Callithrix jacchus: one gene and its partners. The protein of the gene in region 1 purifies or fractionates together with the protein of each later gene. This does not show direct contact. Links are inferred from orthologs where the notes say so. Each region holds a gene or a part of one and is shown on either strand. Other genes may lie near its edges. The genes, in order: SNRPF, SF3B1, MEPCE, SNRPA1, TUT1, RNPC3 and CLNS1A.

Region 1 (2,245 bases):
ACTTTTTTCTCCTTAGTAAACAAACCATATGCCTTCAGCCTAAATGTCGGTTCCCAATTTCCGTTGTGCCTTGTCTGCACAATCATTTTAATTTTTAGATGTTTCAATTTTAGCTACAATATGTGCATTTAGCTTATACTGACACAGAAGTAACATGTAATTTTACTAAGTAAAATAAGACAGTACATTAATACCAAAAACATGTTTAATTTTATACATGTTAAAAGTGGCTCAAAAATAACTTTAAAAGTTGCATTTAAAAGGTCTCAGCTAAGATATAATTTTACAAGAAAAGGTCTGAAATTCACCTTCATAAAAATATCTAAAGCATATAAATAACTATCCTTTATAGAAAAAAAAAAGAGTATCAAGCTTATAAAAAAAAGCAACTTAAATAAAATTCAGTGACTTTTAAAGCATTAGTTTTGTGAGTAATCTTTCCCAATTGGTTCAGCATTTGGGCTTTGCTGGTAAATATCTGAATACAAATAGTTCACAAGTCAAGAACAAACAAATCTTTATTGTCTAGAAATATATATATATAAAAAAAAATCCCAGGGGCTGGGGTCAGGAAAAAAAAAAAATCCCCCACAAAATATGCTATTCTCTCATTTCCCCATCTTCTTCCTCTTCTTCCACACCTCTGATATAAAGGACATTATTACACCTGTAAATAGAAAAAGTCCATTTTGTTGTTTCAACCAGAATCCATGTATGATCTGAATTACTATATTTTTTATTATGAAAATACTGAATGCTATATTTATAATATTCCTGTCTTTCAAAAAATATATATTTGTTTTTAAAAAACGTTTTACATAGATAAGTTGAAAAGCACATGGCACTGATTTTCAACCATATGGTTGTTATAAAATGATATCTTTATAATTTTCCAAGGGAAATAATTATCAGAATTTGGAGCTTTGAAGCTAGTACAAAAATTCTTACAAACAGCCAGACCCAACTAAAATTCAAAACTAAGTGCCTCCAATGAAGGCCACTGAAAAAGGTTATATAGCTAAGAGCCAGAAAATTTAACATCAACACTAGAAAAATCTTTTGGCCAGTTCTAAAGCATTTTAAAACTTATCTTTGACAAGTTTAGCAATTTCAAAGACTTCTGAAGTCCAATTGTAAAGTATTATAAGTTAATAGTGATTTTTTAAAAATAAGTAACTCCAAAATTGAGGCTCTAATATATTTAAAACAGGTATTCCTAATGCTCACCAGTAACTCCTTACATATACCACTGCTGTTTTTTACCTTATTAAAACTTCACCCAGATGTCCAGACAATGCTCCATCTATGTATTCTTCTGTATTTGCAAGCTTTCAATAAAAAGAAATATATTAGTATAATCACACAGGAGGAAAATATTACAATACAGCTAATACTGTGAGAGAACTTATTAACTGATACCTTTCTACACCAACAACTCAAATCTATCTATAATTAATAAACAGAAGATGAGCTTTCTATTACTACTGTAGGACTTTTGGTTTCATATAAACCTTCAGTAAAATTAACATTCATGGATGTAGAACAAATATATAATAAAGCTTGTTTCAACATAAGTTTCTGAATCTCCCAGGTTACGTAATATTTCAGATATCAAAACTGTGTGGAAGCAGTCTCTAATTTATGAATAAATTGTGATTAAAAAGTTTTCTGAAAATTCATTCTAAAGCACCAAATGTTGTTTTCTCAGAGTCAACATTATAAATCATACTGAGGTGTCCAAATGGGTTACAAAAGCTATGGCTAACATGCCAAATACTTTCATATTAGGCAACATCCAAAGCAGGTAATTAAGTAAGAATTTTCTTCTTTTCTTGCCTTTTAAGAAACAGGGTCTCACTCTGTTGCCCAGGCTGGAGTGCAGTAGCACAATCATAGCTGACCAAAACCTCGAACTCCTAGGCTCCTCCCACGTCAACCTCCTGAGTAGCTATGATAGAAAGCATGTGCCACCAAGCCTGGCTACTTCAAAACAATTTTGCTATATTGCCCAAGCTGGTCTTGAACTTCTGCCCTCAAGTGATCCTCCCGCCTTGGCCTCCCAAAGTACTGGGATTATAGGTATGAGCCACCACATCTGGCCAATGAATAATAATTTTTTTAAAATTTTGTACTAATAAACAGGGAAAAAGAAGTTCTTAATAGAAAGTTAAATAGTTAAGTTTCACATTTACAGTTATTTTGTTGAACTCTTATTATTTCTAATTTTATATCAAAATGTTTAGTT
Region 2 (3,182 bases), on another chromosome or scaffold:
GCTGCCTAGACTCACCCCCATCTTAAAGAACAGACATGAAAAAGTACAAGAGAATTGTATTGATCTTGTTGGGCGTATTGCTGACAGGTAAGCAGATTACCCAAACATTTTTATAAGCAATATCAGTTTTCAAGTTTGGCCACTTTTTATTCAATTAGCAAAATTTTTTTAATGTCACTAATATAAGTGTATATGATTAGGCTATCCAGTATTAATATTTTCAGTCAAATTTCATTTTGGATGGTAATGGGGTGGCAATATAATTTTAAGACTAAACCTTTAAGACTAACTCTAACCTTTCTGAAGAGTAATAACTTTTATTTAATGCTTAAAATGAGCTAGCAATCATGTTTTTAGAACTGAATTTGCAAATTTACCCTTAAAACTTAATGTCACAAAAATTAATATGTGTATTTCTTTTTTAATTAGGGGAGCTGAATATGTATCTGCAAGAGAATGGATGAGGATTTGCTTTGAGCTTTTAGAGCTTTTAAAAGCCCACAAAAAAGCTATTCGTAGAGCCACAGTCAACACATTTGGTTATATTGCAAAGGCCATTGGGTGAGTGTTATTTACTTCCATTAAAAAAAAATTATAGTAAATCCGTTGTGGTGTTGAAATCTCTTTTGAGGCATGGTCTGAGTAATGCAGTTGCAAAAGCACTTCATTTAACCGCTGACCTTCTGATTATTGGAATGCATTCTTAAATTCAATTCTTTCTTTTTTTTTTTTTTTCTTTTCGAGACAAAGTCTTGCTCTGTTACTCACTGCTAGAATGCAGTGATGTGATCTGCAACCTCCACCTTCTGGGTTCAGGTGATTCTCCTGTCTCAGCCTTCCCAGTAGCTGGGACTACAGGTGTTGCACCACCACACCTGGCTAATTTTTTGTATTTTTTAGTAGAGACGAGGTTTTTACTATGTGGGCGAGGCTGCTCTTGAACTCCTGACCTCAAATGATTCACCTGCCTTGGCCTCCCAAAGTGTTGAGATTACAGGTGTGAGCCATTGCGCCCAGCCTGTAGTCTTAAATTTTTAATTGAATTAAAATAAATTTACTTTAATTATATGTTAGGTATTTTCAGGGAGAGAAACAGTACCATTTTCAGAAAAATTTTAAATGTGTATTGGTTTTTTGGATATTGCTTAAACTATAAAGGCAAGTTTTTAATCTTACAGCATCATTTAAGTCTCATATTGAATGCTCTGTGTTTTAAAAATTTTATTATGGATTGCTTGAGCTTAGGAGTTCAAGGTTACGGTGAGCTGTGATTGTGCCACTGTACCCCAGCCTGGGCACCTGGGCCCAGGACAAGACCCTGTCTCTAAAAAAACAACAAAAATGCTATTCTAACATTAATCCACAGATTTAACTGAATTATAGCTGCTTTGTGAAATAATCTGTGGTTGTTTACTTCCACTCCATTACAACTAAAGTGGGAAAAAGCAGTCATTATAGAAAACGAGACACTGCGTGTTCATGTGGCTTAAGTAAGAAAATGTTTTTAAGGAATATGACATGCGAATGTCTGATTCCTTAGTTAGAATTAACCAGACCATACTCTCTCTCTTAACACATACTCATTCCTCTCCTATTTTGGTAGCATAATATTTATTTTAGTGGTGATGGAGTCAAGAAATTTGCAGCCAATAGCTGTTGTGCAAGCTTTTAGCCTCAGTGTCCCATAAGCTTATGTCAAAGAAGAGGTGAATAGATGCAGCAAATTGTGTGGGAGGGAATATGAAAGGAAAAAAGATTTCATATGGTTTATAGTGGGAGACTGCAATTTGGATACTCATACCTAGTTCTAGTGCCCATTTTGACAACTCAGAGAATTACTCACTTTAAACATTTACTTACATTTCTTTATATATCAGAAAGTTTAAAGACTGAACATTGAGAATTAATTTGAGTTAACTTAACATTTTTAGAATTCATACAGCTATGGCCTCTGATCTCAGAGTTAACTTTTAAAAACTGATCTTTTAATTTATATGAAATTTTCATATAGAAACAACAATGCCAGTGACTTGAAAATACTGCATTTTTATCATAAAATTACTGAGCTCCCTGTCATTAGTATTTAAAAGTTTTCATCCTCATGCGTTTTTTTCTTCCATAAATTTTTGACTTATGGAAATCAAAGTTCGACTTATTATTGTTGACCCATTTGTTTTTTTTCAGCCCTCATGATGTATTGGCTACACTTCTAAACAACCTCAAAGTTCAAGAAAGGCAGAACAGAGTTTGTACCACTGTAGCAATAGCTATTGTTGCAGAAACGTGTTCACCCTTTACAGTACTCCCTGCCTTAATGAATGAATACAGAGTTCCTGAACTGAATGTTCAAAATGGAGTGTTAAAATCACTTTCCTTCTTGTTTGAATATATTGGTGAAATGGGAAAAGACTACATTTATGCTGTAACACCATTACTTGAAGATGCTTTAATGGATAGGTAAGTGACTTGAACTAAATACAGGAAAATAATTATAACTCTTCCTTCATTTTAGAACATCCTGAAATAGTTATTAGATGACTTTTCATTGTAATGTAGATAAAGAAAAAAATGCTAGCCTGGAGTCTTAGGACATTGTAAATATGACTTATTATTTAAAATAATGTGCACATTGTAGTGATTCTCCAAAGTTTCTTTCAAGTTCCCCACCTCCCTTTAAATCTCTTTTCATATCTGTTGAACTACATTTTGAAAAGGGTTGATAATCTTTTGTTTTCAAAATTGGTCAAATATAGTTACAGGAATTGATGAGCAGGAGCTAGTCAGTGTGGCAGAGACCTGATGTTTTTTAGCTTTTTATTGTAGGTAAAGCACAGATTTCTCTTAAGCTTTCGAATTACTGAACATAGTCTGACAGAGCTGCACTCTTCCCATTGCAGATCCCTAGTGTTTCAGATGGTGACCACCAGTACAGTACTGTTTGAGTTATTTGACAGATTCCTAATACCTTTTACCATCTAGACTGATATTATAGCCGTAAACACAAAAGTAACTGAAGAAAGTGCAAAGGAAAGTGCAGGCATAGTAAAGGAAAGAACTGTTTAACTGGCTCTGTATTTTTCAGGAGAGATAAGTTACTCAAATCAGAGCCCATTCAAATACTTTTGTGTATAAATTAAAGTTATTCATTAATGACCTGAAAGGGAGACTTAAATGGACTCATC
Region 3 (2,823 bases), on another chromosome or scaffold:
CTTCCGCCTGTAAGCACTTTGGGAAGTTGAGGTGGGCGGATCACCTGAGGTCAGGAGTTTGAGACCAACCTAGCCATCATGGTGAAACCCCAACTCTACTAAAAATACAAAAAATTAGCTGGGCTTGTGGCCTGTAATCCCAGCTACTCCAGAGCCTGAGGCAGGAGAACTGCTTGAACCTGGAAGGCGCAGGTTACAGTGAGCTGAGATCGCACACCCCAGCCTGGGTAACAAAGTGAAACTCCATCTCAGGAAAACAAAAATCAGAGTTAGCCTTCTGCCCAAGGCCCTCACAGGGCTTTTTTGGGGAGAGAAGGCAGACTCCAAGTTACACACCAAAATTTGCATTACATACTTTGCCTTTCTAGGCTTCTGTGTACTTTTGTGTGGACTTGGCTAGCATGCAACAATCAACCCAGCCACTGAAAAATTGTCTTCCTTGAGACGGAAGAGGAAGCACCACGTCTTCCCCACCAGCTATAAAATACCCAACACAAGTGTGGGGGCCACTGCCCTAGACATCAAGTTTATTGTGCTGTTCTCACATTCAAAACCCAACCCCCTCTCCCACTGGGGGACAGCAGAGGGAAAGATTTTCACAGTACCTTCGTGCCTCCCTACCAGGCTTCCCCCTCTAACCTTCAGTCCACCTATCCATGGTCCACTGAAATGCAGCTAGGGAAAAGGGCTGAGATATGGGAATCTCTCTCCTTGGGAGAATAGGAGGAAAGGGCTAGAGAATTTTATATCCTTCCACCTCCCATGCCCTAGGAGAACAGAGGTCAGCAAACAGTCCATGCCATCCAGCCTGGCAGGCTGTGGGAGAGGAAGATGGGGACTCCAGCACAGCCAGCCTTGCTGCACAAGTGTCAGAGGCGTAGGGAGGAGGCTGAGGCAGCGGCAGCGACGGAAGAAAAGCTTTCTTTGCAGATCCAAGAAGAAAACTATTTTTGGAGTCAGAAAGGAAAGACCTTGGGACGCTTTCCTCTTCCCCCAGGTCCTTATGAGCAGCGAAGGCAGCCTCTTCACACTTTCTGTTCAAGGGGCCACTTAGTGGCTGGGGGATCGGGCCTTGTGGAACAGGTACACAGGACGCTGGAAGCCTGAGGGGAGAGACAGTGATCAGAAGGGGTTGGCAGCACCTCCCCATGGGATCTGAACTCTATCAGTCAGGACAAGCCTTCCCAACAAAATAAACCAGCCTTACCTTTAGAGGTGTTGTGGGGTGTGGCTACAAGCTCATAGCTGGAGAAGCCCACTTCTGGGGATGTCAGGTAGGAACTGAACTGCTCTGGCTTCAGCTGGATTCGGTAGTAGTTCTTGTAGATTGTTTCCTAAGGAGAGAAGCAAAGGACCACTTTAGCATGCTGGCCACCTCCCATGGCCAAGAGTGATGCCCAGCCGGAGGGCCTTTTCACCTTGTTCAGAAATTCCTTCTCTATTCCCTGAGGCCTTTTCTTGCCTCAACCAAAGGATTATTCCCCATTTCCATCACATCCAACTCACCGTAAGGGTCTTTCTCTTGCCATAGGATGACCAGGGTTGGGGCTCTAGGACCAGGATGCCCCCAGGCCGTAAGTGCCGGTAGATCCGGCGAAACATGCGCTTCAGGCCCTCATCTCCCCAGTTCAGATGCACCCACTTGGTTAGGCTAAGGCAGAGCACCACATCATACTCAGGTGTTTGGGCTTCCACCAGGTCATCTCGATCCAGCACGTAATTACCCTGGGGGCAGGAATCGGCAGTGAGGTCAACAGAGGGAATCAAAGAACCCCTGCTTCCAGGCAACCTGCCCTGAGGCCGACACACAGTCCTGTAGCCTCACTTTAGCCCATGGTCATATTCTTCTCAGACTAACTCCCAAAAGGGGCCCTCTTTGAGTTTTGTTTTCTCCTCTACACCTTCCTGGCCTCTGCTTCTTCCTACTGGTGTAAGCCAAAAAACGTCTAGAGGGAGCCTGGGTAATTTTAAATGGTGCAAATTATCCATGAAGTCTTCCAAAGCTGAGGTCCCAGGACCCTATCCCGTGCTTATTCTCACCCACAGACTTTAGGTGGAATGACTGCAATTAGTTGCAAGGATAACTAACTAACCCAGGTTTCAAACCACAGGCAGACCTGTGGTTCCTTCTCTGCAGTTGGGGTTGGCAAAGTTTCAGGCCTATTCTTTGCTTCCTCTGAGAGATATGAAGAGCCACATCCTTCAGGAAACCTTTTCTAGAAGATAAGCTCATCACAGCCCTCTAGAAAGACCATTCTTCAGGCTTAACCCAACACAATGCCAAAGATCCCAGCAGACGGCCTAACTGGGATGTTTTCCGAGAGCTGTGTGCAGTCAGGGGACACTGTGGTGGGCATGGGACTCTCCTCTCTGTGTAGTTTCTGGCTCTTCCCTCTCCTACTATCTAGGGTCAGTGTGGAGAGGATCTACAGCCAAGCCACTTGGGTTCCTGACACTCTTCAACAAACTGTCTAGGAAAACAAAAGCTGTTGATGAGAACAAGGTCTCTATCAATGGGCAGAAATGCCAGTATTAGTCTGCCGCTACCCTAATCTCCCCAGAAGACATTCCATGCCTGACTCCCATTCTCAGGCTTCTTCAGTAAATCTGAGGACCAAGTTCCAGCTGGATTGAATCCCCTAGTGAGCAGTAACAGCAGCCTTAAAGGGAAGGTGGACCAGTGTGGATTATAGGCCAAGCCAGGAGCTGGGCAAAAAAAGTCCTCCTCTATTTTGGAGACCCTTGAGGTCATGAGAAAGGACTCCAGGGTCAAGGCCCCAAGGTAGAGAGATCACCTTTCCGGGTTATAAAAGGGAAGAGATG
Region 4 (3,504 bases), on another chromosome or scaffold:
AGATTGGATTACAACTGTCGTGGCTAAGGGAGATCGGAGATGGCAATCAAACAGTAGTGTTCTTCAAACAGGAGTGAGTTCCACCCCTTTCAACAGCAAACATTCTTGAAGACTCGCCATGCGACCTTTATGTTAACTACGTACATATCTAAAACTAGAGGGTGGGTATGGTGGCTCAGGCCTGTTCTTCCAGCACTTTGGGAGGCCAAGGTGGGAGGATCACTTAAAGCCAGAGTTGGAGAGCAGCTTGGGGAAGAAAAAAACCTCGAAAACAACCCGTAACCAGGATAAGTGGGACACACTAATCAATTCCAAAAATGGAATCATTTCAGTGTCCTATCAGAAGACGGAGCGACAGGCAAGTCTGTATTAACATGAGGGCTACATGGGAGTAGAAAAGGTGGCCTTACTGGCATGTTCATGACACTGCAGGAGGTGGACTAATCTGAGGAAATGCTGCCCTCCCACATTTACAAATGAAACACATCCTTAGACTTCACTGCAAATGCACCGTGATGACACACAACTCGGCAGCACACCGAGTGTTTATTTTTATGACTTGTAGAAAACTGACATTTAGATTTCAAAACTTACATTACAAAATTATCAGCAGCAGTCCTAAGTATTTCAGCAACGCTGACACATTCCACTTTGCTAACACAAACAAGGCTATTATCCCATGTTTGAAAAGCAGGACTTGTTCCAAGAGGGCCTATTGCCACACATCTGCCCCACCGCTCAGGACCCGTTTGTGACGGTGTCTTCTTCCATCTCTTCTTCACCATCATCAGTGGGTCCTAAAGAAAACCACAAAACCGAAAGTAGAATCAGTTTTAGAGAATCTATCTCCTTGGCATGTGAGTGCTTGTTCCGTGGCCCCTGTTTCCTAGGCACTGAAGCAGGTCCAAACAGATCAAAAGCAGCCCCTGCCTTTGGGGAGCCGATTGCCCAGGGACAGTCTAGTCTGTCTTTGGCAGGTACGGGACGAGATGATCAGTTTCAAAGGAAAAGGGTCACAAAAGTTTCAGAATTGCCGCCTCCCACTGTAGTTGACGATAATTCATTCTTGTGAAGGTAAAAAGTCTACATTCGTGTGCTTTTCATGGCACTACCATAGCAAAGAAACTGGAAATACTCAAAAGCCTTTGGGCACCTTCTACACACCAGGTATTGGCAACAGTTCAATGACTTTATTGTCTCTAAATTGGGAAAATATGGCAACAATTACCAAAAAATGTTACATTTGTTCAACAATTTATGGCAGATATTTTGATCAATTTCTTGGGGGGGGTGCGGGGGCGGGGAGTCGTAACCCTTTCATTTGCTTGGGGAAATTAGGAATATCTGACTTAACACCAGTCAGCTGGATTACTGTATTGGCTTCATCAGTCCAGCCCTTGCAATATGCTATTTTGATTGACGAGCATGAAGAAAATTTGGCCACACAGGTATATAGTTAGAAAAGGGAGAGGACCATTCCAGGCCGGGCGTGGTGCTCATGCATGTGATCCCAGCACTTTGGGAGGCTGAGGAGGGCAGATCAGGAGGTCAAGAGATCAAGACCATCACGGCCAACCTTACCAATGAACTTTTCATACTTTATCTTGTACTTTGAACAAAATCTTGTACCTGTACATGATTTTGTATCATTTGGAAAACAGAGGTTCCCGGGTTTTGCAGATCTTCCAAATGTTGAGACATTTAATTACACATCAAAAATGTCACACCCACTAATTCACATGCATTAACATGACTACTGAGTTCCCCAGAAAAGTCTTTTAAGTACTGGGAAGCTGGCAGGTTAGAGCAGTGGATACAAGTTTTCCAAATTTTAATTTTTGCTTGAAATCTTAAATTTTCAATTGTTTTCACTGAAGTACAGGCTCATTTCATCGTGTTTGAGAAGACAGCTAGAAGACAGTTAACAGCTGCCTCTCAACTGAAACGACAGCCCAGTGCATGGAGATAGCCCCCCAACTCAAGTATGCAGACAATGCAGATGTGTACCACTATTCTCTCACCCAGAATATCAGACGTGTGCTTGAGGAGTGACATTTCATAATCTTCACTGCTGCATCCAGAACACTCTTACGTGAAACTGGTATGCATTCTACTGGGAGCGCAGAGCAGAGAAGAATATAACAACTATTATTTAGCCCGCTGCCTTGATTCCTGCTGAGGTGCCAGCAGTTCTACCTCCTATTGCTCCAACAGTGCAAATGTTCGTACGAAAAGTAGTTACACCTTGGTGTATCCGATAAAGAAAAGTCTTGATCTTACGGACTCTCAGAGGCCTACAAACCATACAGTAGAAAATCACTGTTCTTAAAAAATGTCTTTTTCATTTTTAGCTCCCAGCTCAAACATTATTTCCCTAGAAACTTTCCCCAAGATAGCAGTCGAAGTAGAGGTCCCCAGTTACATTCATATCAAAACTTGTAAGATGTATTTCAGTATTTTTTGATATCCCCAGTGCCCCACCTGCTGCCCAGCATAAAGCAGGCATTCAAACAGCAGAATAGCTACCACTTATCAAAAACTCGCTAATGTTGAGCCCTGCGCTAAGTGCAGTCTCCTAGGCCTCTCGGCAACCTTCTGAGGTTTGGTACTATTAACGCAGATTTAAAGATGAGAAAACAGACTTGAAAAAACTTGTCCAAGGGCAGAGCTGGTGAAGCTAAGATTTGGGCCTCAGACTGCTTGGCTCTAGAGCCCGTGTTCCTGACTACTGAGCTATTATGCACACACACAGATACAGATAGGCAAACGTCCACATGGCTATCTCCAGTGTTCAGTTCACTCCATGGCTGAAATAATACTAGCTTCAACTTCTACATAAAACCCCCACAGCACTATGACTTAGCTTTCTTCATCCAGTACTTTATCTTCAAAGAGCATTTACAGGGATTTCATGTATTAGATGTGATGTAAGGAGGCACTGTTCCAGCATTCTGGAGTCATAACATCCAAATGGTTATGAGAGTCACACCGAGTGTAACACTAATTTGAACGGACAAAGAACACCGTTTGCTCACCCGATCTGCGTTCTCTGCCAGGAATCTGACCAGACTGCAGCAAGCCCTTCAGCCTCTCCACTTCAGCCAGAGTTGAAGCATTTGCTATAGCATTCTGGAGGACAGAGGGCAATGGAGATGGATAATTAACTTCAACCAAGTATCAACTACCCAGAAAACTAAGTATCAATCACCTACAGAAATTCACAGCAACTTCTCCATTTGGAACATTAAACACTTTGGTGTTGGGGGAAGAATGTTATTGGCATACAGAAATAAAACTAGAAGCCAAATCACAAATTTCCAAAATTGGGTAAGAGATGCGGGCCCTCTTATAAAAGAGAGCAAATAATCACTCCAGATGTCCTAAAACTGTAGCTAAATGAAATAACTATTTGAATTATTTGAAAAACTATTTGAAGAACTACTGAATAGTTTAAGGAGGCAACATTATAAAACTAGGGTCCCTACTGATCAGCCAAAATTATTT
Region 5 (3,500 bases), on another chromosome or scaffold:
CGACAAGGCAGGGCCGAGCAGCTGCATGAAGTTCTGAGGTAGAGAAAGGAGGATTATGACCAGAAGGAAATGAAATGGGAGACTCTCTGTATTAAGAAACTAGCAGCTTTATTGCCCTTTAGGGGCCATGTCTTTACTTGAGATGTCGAAGTGCTTGAGGGAGGAACAACTGTAAGAAATGATGGAGATCAGGGAATAGGCCTTGGGGATCCTGGAGTGGGGTCACGGTGAGCATTCCGTCAGCCGAGGAGACAGATGCCACAAAGCTCAGCAGGGGCTCAGTTTCTGGCCTCTGTTCGCCACCACTCAGTCCTCTCAGCTCCTGGGTGACCTGAGCCTCAGTTGCCAGCCACCCTGCTCCTGTGCCAGCACTGTCTCCAGCTTCTTCCTTGGTTTGCTGCTGCAAGCGTCTACGGGCTCGCCGCCGCCCCTGCCACACTCGGTGCCACAAGGCACAGCGCCAGCTCACCGAGGAGGGGAGGGATATCTCCTTCCCTGCCTCGCCCTGAGACCCTCCTGAGGCTGCCTCATGTCCCTTGGGCCCCTGCTCTGCCAGGGCTGCTTGGCTGGACTGCCCCTCTTCTCCAGGGGCTCCATGATTGCCAGTCATCAGCAGCAGCTCCCCTGGCTGCCCAGGGCTCTGCATGGCCCAGTCCTGAGACATCTCTCCAACCTCTACAACCATCTCTTCTACCCCGTCTTCCCCGCCATCCCCTGCACCTCCCTGCTGCTCCTCTCTCCCCTCCTCACAGCTCTTTTTCTGTCCATCTAGTTTCAGTCTTTTGTTTGTCCCTCCCTGAGAGGACTCTCCAATTCCACCTCCTTCTGACCGCGGTCTCTTGGTTCCCTGTTCTATATGACACCCCAGTGCTTCCCTGAATACCTGCACCAGGGCAGCAGTGAGCTGGGTGAAGGGTACAAGGGGTAAAGGGATTGGCGTAGCAGAGAGCAGGGAGCTGGGGGAGCTGGGCTGCAGAAGGGGGAGCAGCCCCCAGTCCCGACCCCGGGAGGAACGGCGCTGGTACTGGAGGCTTCGGCAGTAATTGGCTGCCGCTCGGCAGCAGTTCTGTAGGCGCCCAGCCACCCGGCTGGTCACATTGGCTGCAACATTGTGACTGAGGTCAAAAGGGTCCTGGAGATTCATGGGGCCAAGGCGCAGACCCTCCCAGAAATTAGAGGGCAGGCCCCCTGCCACAGGCAGTGCCTGACCATCCCTCAGGGACAGCAGTGAGCCACGGAGATCCCAGCAAGAGACACAGGAGAAGAACTGGGCTAGCAGGTAACCTGGAAGAGGAGGAAAAGTGGGGAAAGGGGGTCATTTAGAGCCCAGAACTGAGACAGGTCCTGCACCTGAGCCATTTCCTTGGCAGGACTTTCTTTTTCCCTTTCGAAGGTCTCAGCATCAGCAGAGTCCCAGGAAGCTAGACTTCTCTGATCCCTATGAACAAGAGGTCAGCCAGGCACGGTGGCTCACGCCTGTAATCCCAGCACTTTGGGAGGCCTAGGCGGGCAGATTACGAGGTCAAGAGATCAAGACCATCCTGGCCAACATGGTAAAACCCCATCTCTACTCAAAATACAAAAATCAGCTCAGTGTGGTGGCACGCGCCTGTAGTCCCAGCTACTCAGGAGGCTGAGGCAGGAGAATCACTCGAACATGGGAGGCAGGGGTTGCAGTGAGCAGAGGTCATGCCACTGCACTCCAGCCTGGCGACAGAGCAAGACGCGGCTCAAAAAAAAAAAGAGGTAGGCCGGGCGCAATGGCTCACGCCTAAAATCCCAGCACTTTGGGAGGCCGAGGCAGGTGGATCACGAGGTCAAGAGATCGAGACCATCCTGGTCAACAAGGTGAAACCCCGTCTCTACTAAAAATACAAAAATTAGCTGGGCATGGTTGTGCGTGCCTGTAATCCTAGCTACTCGGGAGGCTGAGGCAGGAGAATTGCTTGAACCCAGAAGGCGGAGGTTGCAGTGAGCCAAGATCATGCCATTGCACTCCAGTCTGGGTAACAACAGCGAAATGCCGCCTCAAAAAAAAACAAGAGGTAACAAGAGGTCAAACTTCTCTCCTTGACCCCACATGATGTCCTTCCCAGATGCTACTCCCTCTTGCTGGCCATGTAACCTTGGGCAAGCCACTTAATTGCTCCAAAACGTGGTTTCTTCATCTGTAAAATGACAGTAATAGTGTTAGGTATCTCACAGGCTTTCTGTGAGAACCATGCCTGACACACAGTGTGATGTTACCTACTATTGATGAACATCACTACTAGTCCTCTACCAGGCTCCCCAAACTCACTGAGGGGCTCCACATTTGTGCTGGGCTCCAGTCTCGAGGCATCCCTGGGGAAACTACAGTCCCAGCCATCGACTTTCACCTGTTCCCCATCTCCTGTGAAAGTAAAAAAGGTGAGAGTCAGTCTGGAAGCAGGGAGATTGAGGGTGGGGTAGAAATGAGAGTGATAGCAGAGATCTCATTTGCAGAGCTGCTTTGGGGTCTAAATGTGATGAATAAGAGAGAGGAAGCTAACAAGATGGAGAGGGTGGAGGCTAGGCTGAGTACCTGCTTTCTGGGTGAGCTGGGACACAGTAGGCAACACAGGAGGGTCCCTGGTCTGAAGGAAATAGATCACCAGCAAGGTCAGGGCGTAGTTACTAAGAAGGGGGCCACTCCCTAGGTAAATAAGCAATAATTCTGGTTAGATCAGAGGTGCTTCCAATCCCCTCATTGGCAGTTTTCTCAACCCCGGTGCCCATTTGGACCTACCTTCTCGCCCAGAATCCCTGCCTTTTTCCTGACACCAACTCAGCCCCAAGCCTGTCCTGATTCATTCTCACCTGACAGTCCCCGGCCCTGAGCCCAGCAGCGGAGGGTATACACGAGGGGCCGGACTCGATCATCCAGCTCAGAGCAGAGACTCAGGAAACGGGAGTTATGCAGGGCCAGCCTGGGACAAAGCAGGGACAAGGGTGTTATGGCTTGGGGACATCAGAACCTACCACCCCGCACTTTCATTCCAGACTTACATAACGGGCCAGCTGGAATAAGGCCAAAATAGAGTTTCCCCAAATGTTGCTCAAACACTGAGCTTGTGAGAGAGTGTGCAAAAGGACAAACGCGTTCGGGAAACACTTCATCCTGTAAACCCATCCTGGACATTCACAGAGCACATTATTGTAAGACTGCTCATGAGATGTGGTCACACCACTGTACTCTAGCCTGGGTGACAGAGCAAGATCTCATCTCAAAAAAAAAAAAAAAAAAGGATTGCCCAGAGCCTTTACTCTGCAAAGAAACAAAGACGGGAAGGGAGAGAGGAAGGAAGGAAAGGAGAAAGGAGGGGAGGAGGGAAGAAATGGAGAAAACTTTTTGCATCTAATTTGGAATTTCCCACATTTATTCAACCATAGAACTCTTTTCTATATCCCTTGAAAGTAGTATTCTAGGCCAGGTGTGGTGGCTCACGCCTGTAATCCCAGCACTTTGGGAGGCCAAGGCG
Region 6 (3,500 bases), on another chromosome or scaffold:
TCTCCATTAAACCTCTTTCCTTTGTAAATTGCCCATTCTTGGGAATGTCTTTATCAGCAGTGTGAAAACAGACAAACACATTAGCTTTTATAATATTTACAAATCACAACTCTCTCTTTTGCTTTCACAAAACTGGAAGCCTTGCTAATGTAGTTCTTTTAAAAGATTACAATTTACTGTCAGAGTGAGAATCTAAAAAGGTTTGCTTCATTGCCATATACTCCTGGAGGATTCATTAAAAGAATGGGTTTCAAAGCATAGTCTTTACCTCAGAAGACTCAGCATCATCCAGCAGCTTTTTAGAAACACAAATTCATGAGTCCTATCCATGAAACCTAGAAAATCAGACTCTCTGAAGATGGGCCTAGAAAACTGTTTTGCCAGGCTCTCGAGGTGATACTTATGCAATGTTAAAGTCTGAGAACCATGGATTTAGAGAGATTAGGGTCAGAATGTATTACAAGGCCTGTTTCTGTAAAGAGCTTTATTAGAACACAGCCATGAATATTTGTTCAGGTTTTATTTGTGGCTGCCTTCGAATTCAACTACAAAATTCAGTAATTCCAACAGACACAGTATGGTCTGCAATAAAATAAAAATATTAAAATTTTGCTATCTGCCCATTTACAGAAAAAGTTTGTCAACTCCTATTCTAGACATCTAAAAGATTATTCTAGACCAACTTTTGCAAATATTTTTTTATCTCTAAAAGGAAAATGCTGGGATTAAAATAGTGGTAAATTTGTAAGAGATAAAAAGAAAACATAATTTAATATCATAATTTACTGTCACTTACATGATCCGCTGTGTTTCTGATGAAAAGTCAACATATCTTCCAAAAATATATTTAAGGTCCTAGAATTTCAATAAGAAAAAGACAAATAACAAAGCTAGGGAAAAGAACTGTTAATCAATCAGTCGATCAATACATCAATAGAAGAGGTCATACGGGACTAAAATAGGCTTTAATCTAATGTGACTGTTGGCCTTTCTAAAGGGGAAATTTGGGCATAGATACATAGGGAGTACACTATGAAAAAACAAAGTCAGAAATTGTCGTGATGTTGCCACAAGCCAAGGAAGGTCAAAGACTGCCAGCTTCAGCATAATAGCAGAAGTTATGGGAGAGGATCAGACAGATCCTTCCCTCCCAGCCCTCAGAATGAATCAATCCTGCCATACTTTTGACTTCAGTTTGCCTTCAGAACTGTGAGACAACACACATCTGTGTTTCAGACACTTGGCTTGTGGTACTTTGTTACGGCGGCTCTAGAAAATTAATACATACCCCAAACTCTGTCTCAGTATTTACTGCTAGCTATGCGAATATCATTTTAATAAACAATTAACCTGAAAATACTAAACAATAATTTGACATGCCCTGAAGCACAGTAAAAAACACATTCTTATAGGTAGTTTCACCAGACTTTAACATATCAAGTATAAAACCTTCAAATTGTTTTCATTTACATGAAAAAAAATTTATACCTACCTTTTCTTGAACATGTTTAGCTAAATTCTTTACATAAATTCTACAGTTTGGTTCACCAGGTTCATAACTTCTGAAAACTGAAAGTGTTTCCATTTCTTATTAAGAAACAAAAAAACAAAAATATAAAATTAAAATATTTTAGCCAAGTTTTTAAAGATAATTATAATATTCAAATACAACTGTTAAATAGACAAAATAAGCTTTAGGAAAATGTTAAAACCATAAAATTAGTAACAATATTACAAATTAGTTTAAATATACTCACTGAAAATCTGAATTGATTATATATAAAAAAATTAACTTTTGATTTACAATTTCAGGCATCTAGAATAACTAAACTAAAATTTGTCCAATAAAATATCTACTATTAATGGTCCGTTAAGATGAGTCATGTTATAAAAAAGAGTAAAGCATATATGTTATCAATTGATTTGGGTAATTATTTCACCTAAAGTGAATTTTCCAAACCATCAGCCATCTCCATATTTAAATACAAGAATGAACTAAACATAGTATCAGGCATTTCGGACAAATCATGGCCCCAGAACCCCTGTACAGCTCCTCCCATTTAATGTCAGTAGTCTGTTCTAGAAAACTAAGATAGACGGTTTTGTATAAAAATCCTAGTTGGAAGTCTATTTCCCTTCACTGTAGGAAAAATTACACAGCAATCTAAAGCCTCTAAATATTTTCTGACAAGGTACTAAAAAAGTAAAAGTCTTTGGGAAGTAGAAAACTATCATGTGAGAATATAAAATACTCAATCATAGATTTCTAATCACTATTTGTTTTTGAAATAATTGGTTTGTATGTATCTCAGACACAGTATTTGTTGACAGTCTATCAGCTACATTTAGAATATATAACTCCAGACCTGTAGGACACAGTGACTTAACTTAAATGCCACATAAAAATTTTAGGAATGAAATCAAAAATTTTTTCCAAATATAGACTGGAAACACTGTAGGAGAACGAAAGCCTCTCCCCACCCCCATTAAGTATGAGTATTTAAAAAAAAACAGAAGAGGTGATGACAAACATTAACTGGAAAGATTTAAGTATGTGCCTTAAATTAAGGTAAATGACATGACAAATTGTTTAGTTTCTGCAGAGTCAAAGATATGTAAAATGGAATATGTGCTTAGTTTATTCCATGACATTACCTTCTCTAGAAATTCTGCCCTTTTCCAATTCCCTTCTAGAAATACATTCTGATGGCATTTCATCAGAGTCTTCTTTAATTTCCTCTGTGATATTCAAATTAGGTTTGGGGAAGATTTTTCCGAATCCTATATTGGATGCATCAACTTCAGTAGCAGGTATATCTAAGAATTCAGAGTTAACATTAGCCATTAAGAATCTCTCCTTTAAAAACAGTTTTTGGGTTCCCCCCTCCTATTTTATATTTAATAATATACCTTTTGGCACAAATTCTTTGGTGTTTTTCAATATACGGAAAGATGCATATGCAAATTTTTTCTATAAAACTCCAAATAGTAAAAAAAATTGTGTTAGGCCAGGAGTGGTGGCTCACACTTGCAATCCCAGCACTTTGGGAGGCCACGGTGGGGCGGAGGGAATCTGAGTTTGGGAGTTCAAGACCAGCCTGAACAACATGGAGAAACTTCGTCTCTACTAAAAATACAACATTAGCCAGGCTTGGTGGCCTATGCCTGTAATCCCAGATACTTGGGAGGCTGAGGCAGGAGAATTGCTTGAACCTGGGAGGTGGAGGTTGCTGTGAACAGAGATCATGCCATTGCACACCAGCCTGGGCAACAAGTGAAACTCCGTCTCAAAAAAAAAAAAATTATGTTTAAAGGGTGACTAACCATGATGTAAGAAAAATTTATAAAAAAAAAAAAATGTTAAAGAAAACATAAAAAATGGAGCTATCTGAAAAGGCACTAAAAAAAGCACCAGATTCTCACTCACCATGCAAAACAGGAATTAAAACTAGTCAGTTTTTCACTCACTATGTTTGCAATACTTACTAGAATTCTATCCT
Region 7 (3,500 bases), on another chromosome or scaffold:
CACTGCACTCCAGCCTGGGCAACAGAGTAAGTCTCCGTCTCAAAAAAAAAAGGTAACATCTTGGCTGGGCATGGTGGCTCACACCTGTAATCCCAACACTTTGGGAAGCAGAGGTGGGTGGATCACCTGAGGTAAGAAGTTCGAGACCAGCCTGGTTCAATATGGTAAAATACCATCTCTACTAAAAATACAAAAATGAGCCAGGCATGGTGGCGCATGCCTGTAATGCCAGTTACTCAGGAGGCTGAGGCAAAAGAATCTCTTGAACCCAGGAGTTAGAGATTGAAGTAAGCCAAGATCATGCCACTGCACTCCAGCCTGGGAGACAGACTAAGACTACGACTCAAATAAATAAATAAAAATGACAGAATCATGGCCAGGCGCAGTGGCCCACGCCTGTAATCCCCAGCACTTCAGGAGGCTGGGTTGGGCAGATCACCTGAGGTCAGGAGTTTGAAACCAGCCTGGCCAACGTGGTAAAACCCCATCTCTACAAAAATAAACAAATTAGCTGGGCATGATGGCAGGTATCTGTTAATCCCAGTTACTTGGGAGGCTGAGGCGGGTGAATGACCTGAACCTGGGAGGCAGAGGTTGTAGTGAGCAGAGATCATAACAATGCACCAACCTGGGTAACAGAGCAAAACTCCGTCTCAAAAAAATAATAATTAGTGTATATATACACATAAAAGAACACAAATAAAACTGAAAGAATATGCGACAGAAAATTAACAGTAAATACCTCTCAGAATTATTTTTGATTTTTTTCTCTCTCTTCTTTGCCTGAGCATACTTTCAAAATTTTTGACTAGGAATAGAAAGTATTTTTGTAGACAGAAAAGAAACACTTAAAAAATTACGTAAGAGCCAGATGCAGTGGCTCATGCCTATCATCCCAGTATTTTGGGAGGCCAAGGTGAGTGGATCACTTGAGGTCAGGAGTTTCAGACTAGCCTGGCTAACATAGTGAAACCCCATTTCTACTAAAAATACAAAAAATTAGCCATGCATGGTGGTGCATGCCTGTAATTCCAGCTACTTGGGAGGCTGAAGCAGAAGAATGCTTGAACCCAGGAGGCAGAGGTTGGATTGAGCTGAGATCGTGCCACTGCACTCCAGCCTGGGCGACAGAGCAAGGCACTACCTCAAATAAACAACAAAAAATTACATAAGAATGTCTATTCTATATAATTCTACATTTACTCCCTCTACTATAAAGAGTTTATTCTAAGATTTCTCTTAGTGTTTTGGATTATGTCTCCCCAAGTCCTAACTTCCAATACCTCAGATATGATCTTATTTGGAGAGCTTTACAGAGTTAATCAAGTTCATGTGAGGTCACTAGAGTGGGACCTAATACAATGTGACTGGTGTCCTTATAAGAAGGGTGTGATAGGACCAGCCATGGTGGTTCATGCCTGTAATCCCAGCACTTTGGGAGGCCAAGAAGGGCGGATCACCTGAAGTTCAAGATCAGCCTGGCCAACATGGTGAAACTCCTCTACTAAAAATATAAAAATTAGCTGGGCATGATGGCAGATGCTGGTAATCCTAGCTACTCAAGAGCCTGAGGCAGGAGAACTGCTTGAACCCAAGAGGCAAAGGTTGCAGTGAGCCAATATCATGCCACTGCATTCCAGCCTGGGCAATAAGAGCAAAACTCCACCTCAAAAAAAAAAAAAAAAGATGTGATAATTAAATTTACGCATCAACTTGGCTAGGCAATGGTACCCAGACAGTTTGTCAAACATTATTCTAGATGTTTCTGAGGAGGTTGTTTTTTAGATGAGATTAGCCTTATAAACTGGTGGATTCTGGGTGAAGCAGATTGTCCTTGATAGTTTGGTGGGTCTCACTTAATCGGCTGGAGGCCTCAAAAGGAAAAAGATTCACCTCCCCTAAGCAAGAAGAAATTCTGCCAGCAGAATTTCTGTTGCAGCAGAATGCAGTATCAACTCTTCCCTGGGTCTCCAATCTGCAGGCCTACCCTGCAGATTTTGGACTTGCCAGCCTTCAGTCATGTGGGTCAATTTCTTAAAATCTGTCTCTCTCTTCACTTTGGTAGGTGTGTGTATACCTGAAGAGACGCCTGAACCAACAGCCCTCAGAGATAATCTACCACGGACTTCTAGCCTCCCTAACTATGAGACAATAAAATTCTACTGTTTGAGCCACCCAGCCTGTATGATACTTTGTTATAATAGCCCTAGCAAACTAATACAGAGATTCAACAGAAAAGGATAGCTCTCAGTTAGAATTATACTTGTTTTATTTTTTTCACTTCTACTTTGCCTGTGCACATTAAAAACTTTTTTTTAATGAACAAGGACTACTTTTCTAATGAGAAAAAAAAATCACTAAAAACAAATGACATAAGAATTCCATACTATATAATTCTATATCTGCTTCCTATAGTACAAAAAGTCAATTCTGAGATTTCTCTTAGAGTTATTAAAAGAACTTCTATGACTATCCATTAACTTAATGGCCAAGTGCCCATCTAACTAATCACACTGAGAAAGGACACTCACCTTCATAATCTCTTATTGAATCTTCTGTCCTGACCCCAGCCATATTATACTGGCTGCTCACGGACTGAGAAAGCATTCCTTCTAATCTCTCCAATGTGGCTTGGCCTTCTGCTGTTAGATGGGATAATCCTTCTTCATAGGTGTAAAATGTAGGGATATCCCCCTGCCCTTGTTCTAAACAAACAGAAAACTTCGAAGCTATTATACAACAATTAGAAAAAACAAAATGGATAATTATACATCTGCTGCCAGGGTGGCCAACATACTGAAACCCTGTCTCTACTAAAACTACAAAAATTAGCCGGGCATGGTGGTGCATGCCTGTGGACCAGCTACTCAGGAGGCTAAGGCAGGAGAATCGCTTATACCCGGGAGGTAGAGGTCATAGTGAGCTGAGATCACGCCATTGCACTCCAGCCTGGGTGACAGAGCAAGACCTTGTCTGGGAGGTAGGGAGGAGGCATCTGCTGAAGATAATGTACAGTGAAAATAGGTTTCCAGGAAGATAGTTTTCAACATTTATTTAAGCACATGTACAGGCTACTACTGAAGACAGAGATACAAAGAAAACGTCCCTACCCTCTAAGATTATCAAAAGAAGTAACGAGCCAGTAAACAGCAATTCCCAAATAATCCCATGTCCAGGGACTAGAAGGAAAAAGCATGTTCCTAAGGTCAGGGAGTCCTACATTATCCTGAGGTGGGAATTTTGAGCACAACTTAATTTATATAATGAAGATTTTTTCTAATTAAAAAACATAATCCTAAATTTCTGCTTCATGGGTGCGACACCATAAAACACAGTTCACTATTCAAGAATAAATGCCTATTTTTAAAAAAATACTCCTTTCTTAAAAAAAAAATCAGGGCCAGGTGCAGTGGCTGATGTCTATAATCCCAGCACTTTGGGAGGCTGAGATGGGAGGATTGCTTGAGCCCAGGAGTTCAAGATCAGCTTGGGCAATACAG

The links.
Region 2: the proteins of SNRPF (region 1) and SF3B1 purify together in Homo sapiens (co-immunoprecipitation; 3 studies listed by BioGRID and IntAct, counting the BioPlex papers as one, with this or other methods). This does not show direct contact. The link is inferred for Callithrix jacchus from reciprocal best matches to the Homo sapiens genes SNRPF and SF3B1.
Region 3: the proteins of SNRPF (region 1) and MEPCE purify together in Homo sapiens (affinity purification with mass spectrometry; 4 studies listed by BioGRID and IntAct, counting the BioPlex papers as one, with this or other methods). This does not show direct contact. The link is inferred for Callithrix jacchus from reciprocal best matches to the Homo sapiens genes SNRPF and MEPCE.
Region 4: the proteins of SNRPF (region 1) and SNRPA1 purify together in Homo sapiens (affinity purification with mass spectrometry; 3 studies listed by BioGRID and IntAct, counting the BioPlex papers as one, with this or other methods). This does not show direct contact. The link is inferred for Callithrix jacchus from reciprocal best matches to the Homo sapiens genes SNRPF and SNRPA1.
Region 5: the proteins of SNRPF (region 1) and TUT1 purify together in Homo sapiens (co-immunoprecipitation; 3 studies listed by BioGRID and IntAct, counting the BioPlex papers as one, with this or other methods). This does not show direct contact. The link is inferred for Callithrix jacchus from reciprocal best matches to the Homo sapiens genes SNRPF and TUT1.
Region 6: the proteins of SNRPF (region 1) and RNPC3 purify together in Homo sapiens (co-immunoprecipitation; 3 studies listed by BioGRID and IntAct, counting the BioPlex papers as one, with this or other methods). This does not show direct contact. The link is inferred for Callithrix jacchus from reciprocal best matches to the Homo sapiens genes SNRPF and RNPC3.
Region 7: the proteins of SNRPF (region 1) and CLNS1A purify together in Homo sapiens (affinity purification with mass spectrometry; 3 studies listed by BioGRID and IntAct, counting the BioPlex papers as one, with this or other methods). This does not show direct contact. The link is inferred for Callithrix jacchus from reciprocal best matches to the Homo sapiens genes SNRPF and CLNS1A.

Annotation. Positions count from the first base shown.
Region 1 is NC_133510.1:98,945,661-98,947,905, reverse strand, and holds the end of SNRPF (small nuclear ribonucleoprotein F), read right to left. Parts: intron 1,329-2,245; coding exon 1,264-1,328; intron 668-1,263; coding exon 601-667; 3' UTR 501-600; downstream 1-500. UniProt on the Homo sapiens protein: Plays a role in pre-mRNA splicing as a core component of the spliceosomal U1, U2, U4 and U5 small nuclear ribonucleoproteins (snRNPs), the building blocks of the spliceosome.
Region 2 is NC_133507.1:118,360,301-118,363,482, reverse strand, and holds part of SF3B1 (splicing factor 3B subunit 1), read left to right. Parts: coding exon 1-87; intron 88-429; coding exon 430-561; intron 562-2,184; coding exon 2,185-2,457; intron 2,458-3,182. UniProt on the Homo sapiens protein: Component of the 17S U2 SnRNP complex of the spliceosome, a large ribonucleoprotein complex that removes introns from transcribed pre-mRNAs.
Region 3 is NC_133503.1:13,293,252-13,296,074, forward strand, and holds the end of MEPCE (7SK snRNA methylphosphate capping enzyme), read right to left. Parts: intron 1,726-2,823; coding exon 1,507-1,725; intron 1,335-1,506; coding exon 1,208-1,334; intron 1,104-1,207; coding exon 1,051-1,103; 3' UTR 501-1,050; downstream 1-500. UniProt on the Homo sapiens protein: S-adenosyl-L-methionine-dependent methyltransferase that adds a methylphosphate cap at the 5'-end of 7SK snRNA (7SK RNA), leading to stabilize it.
Region 4 is NC_133507.1:8,696,297-8,699,800, reverse strand, and holds the end of SNRPA1 (U2 small nuclear ribonucleoprotein A'), read right to left. Parts: intron 3,130-3,504; coding exon 3,036-3,129; intron 798-3,035; coding exon 739-797; 3' UTR 501-738; downstream 1-500. UniProt on the Homo sapiens protein: Involved in pre-mRNA splicing as component of the spliceosome. Associated with sn-RNP U2, where it contributes to the binding of stem loop IV of U2 snRNA.
Region 5 is NC_133511.1:119,845,782-119,849,281, forward strand, and holds the end of TUT1 (speckle targeted PIP5K1A-regulated poly(A) polymerase), read right to left. Parts: intron 2,949-3,500; coding exon 2,839-2,948; intron 2,675-2,838; coding exon 2,564-2,674; intron 2,393-2,563; coding exon 2,300-2,392; intron 1,285-2,299; coding exon 134-1,284; 3' UTR 88-133; downstream 1-87. UniProt on the Homo sapiens protein: Poly(A) polymerase that creates the 3'-poly(A) tail of specific pre-mRNAs. Localizes to nuclear speckles together with PIP5K1A and mediates polyadenylation of a select set of mRNAs, such as HMOX1.
Region 6 is NC_133508.1:142,404,921-142,408,420, forward strand, and holds part of RNPC3 (RNA-binding region-containing protein 3), read right to left. Parts: intron 2,818-3,500; coding exon 2,656-2,817; intron 1,588-2,655; coding exon 1,493-1,587; intron 856-1,492; coding exon 797-855; intron 1-796. UniProt on the Homo sapiens protein: Participates in pre-mRNA U12-dependent splicing, performed by the minor spliceosome which removes U12-type introns. U12-type introns comprises less than 1% of all non-coding sequences. Binds to the 3'-stem-loop of m(7)G-capped U12 snRNA.
Region 7 is NC_133511.1:62,980,129-62,983,628, reverse strand, and holds part of CLNS1A (methylosome subunit pICln), read right to left. Parts: intron 2,999-3,500; coding exon 2,900-2,998; intron 2,706-2,899; coding exon 2,532-2,705; intron 2,342-2,531; exon of another isoform or gene 2,245-2,341; coding exon of another isoform or gene 2,066-2,244; intron 1-2,065. Other genes in the region: AQP11 (aquaporin-11), read left to right, coding at 2,066-2,244. UniProt on the Homo sapiens protein: Involved in both the assembly of spliceosomal snRNPs and the methylation of Sm proteins.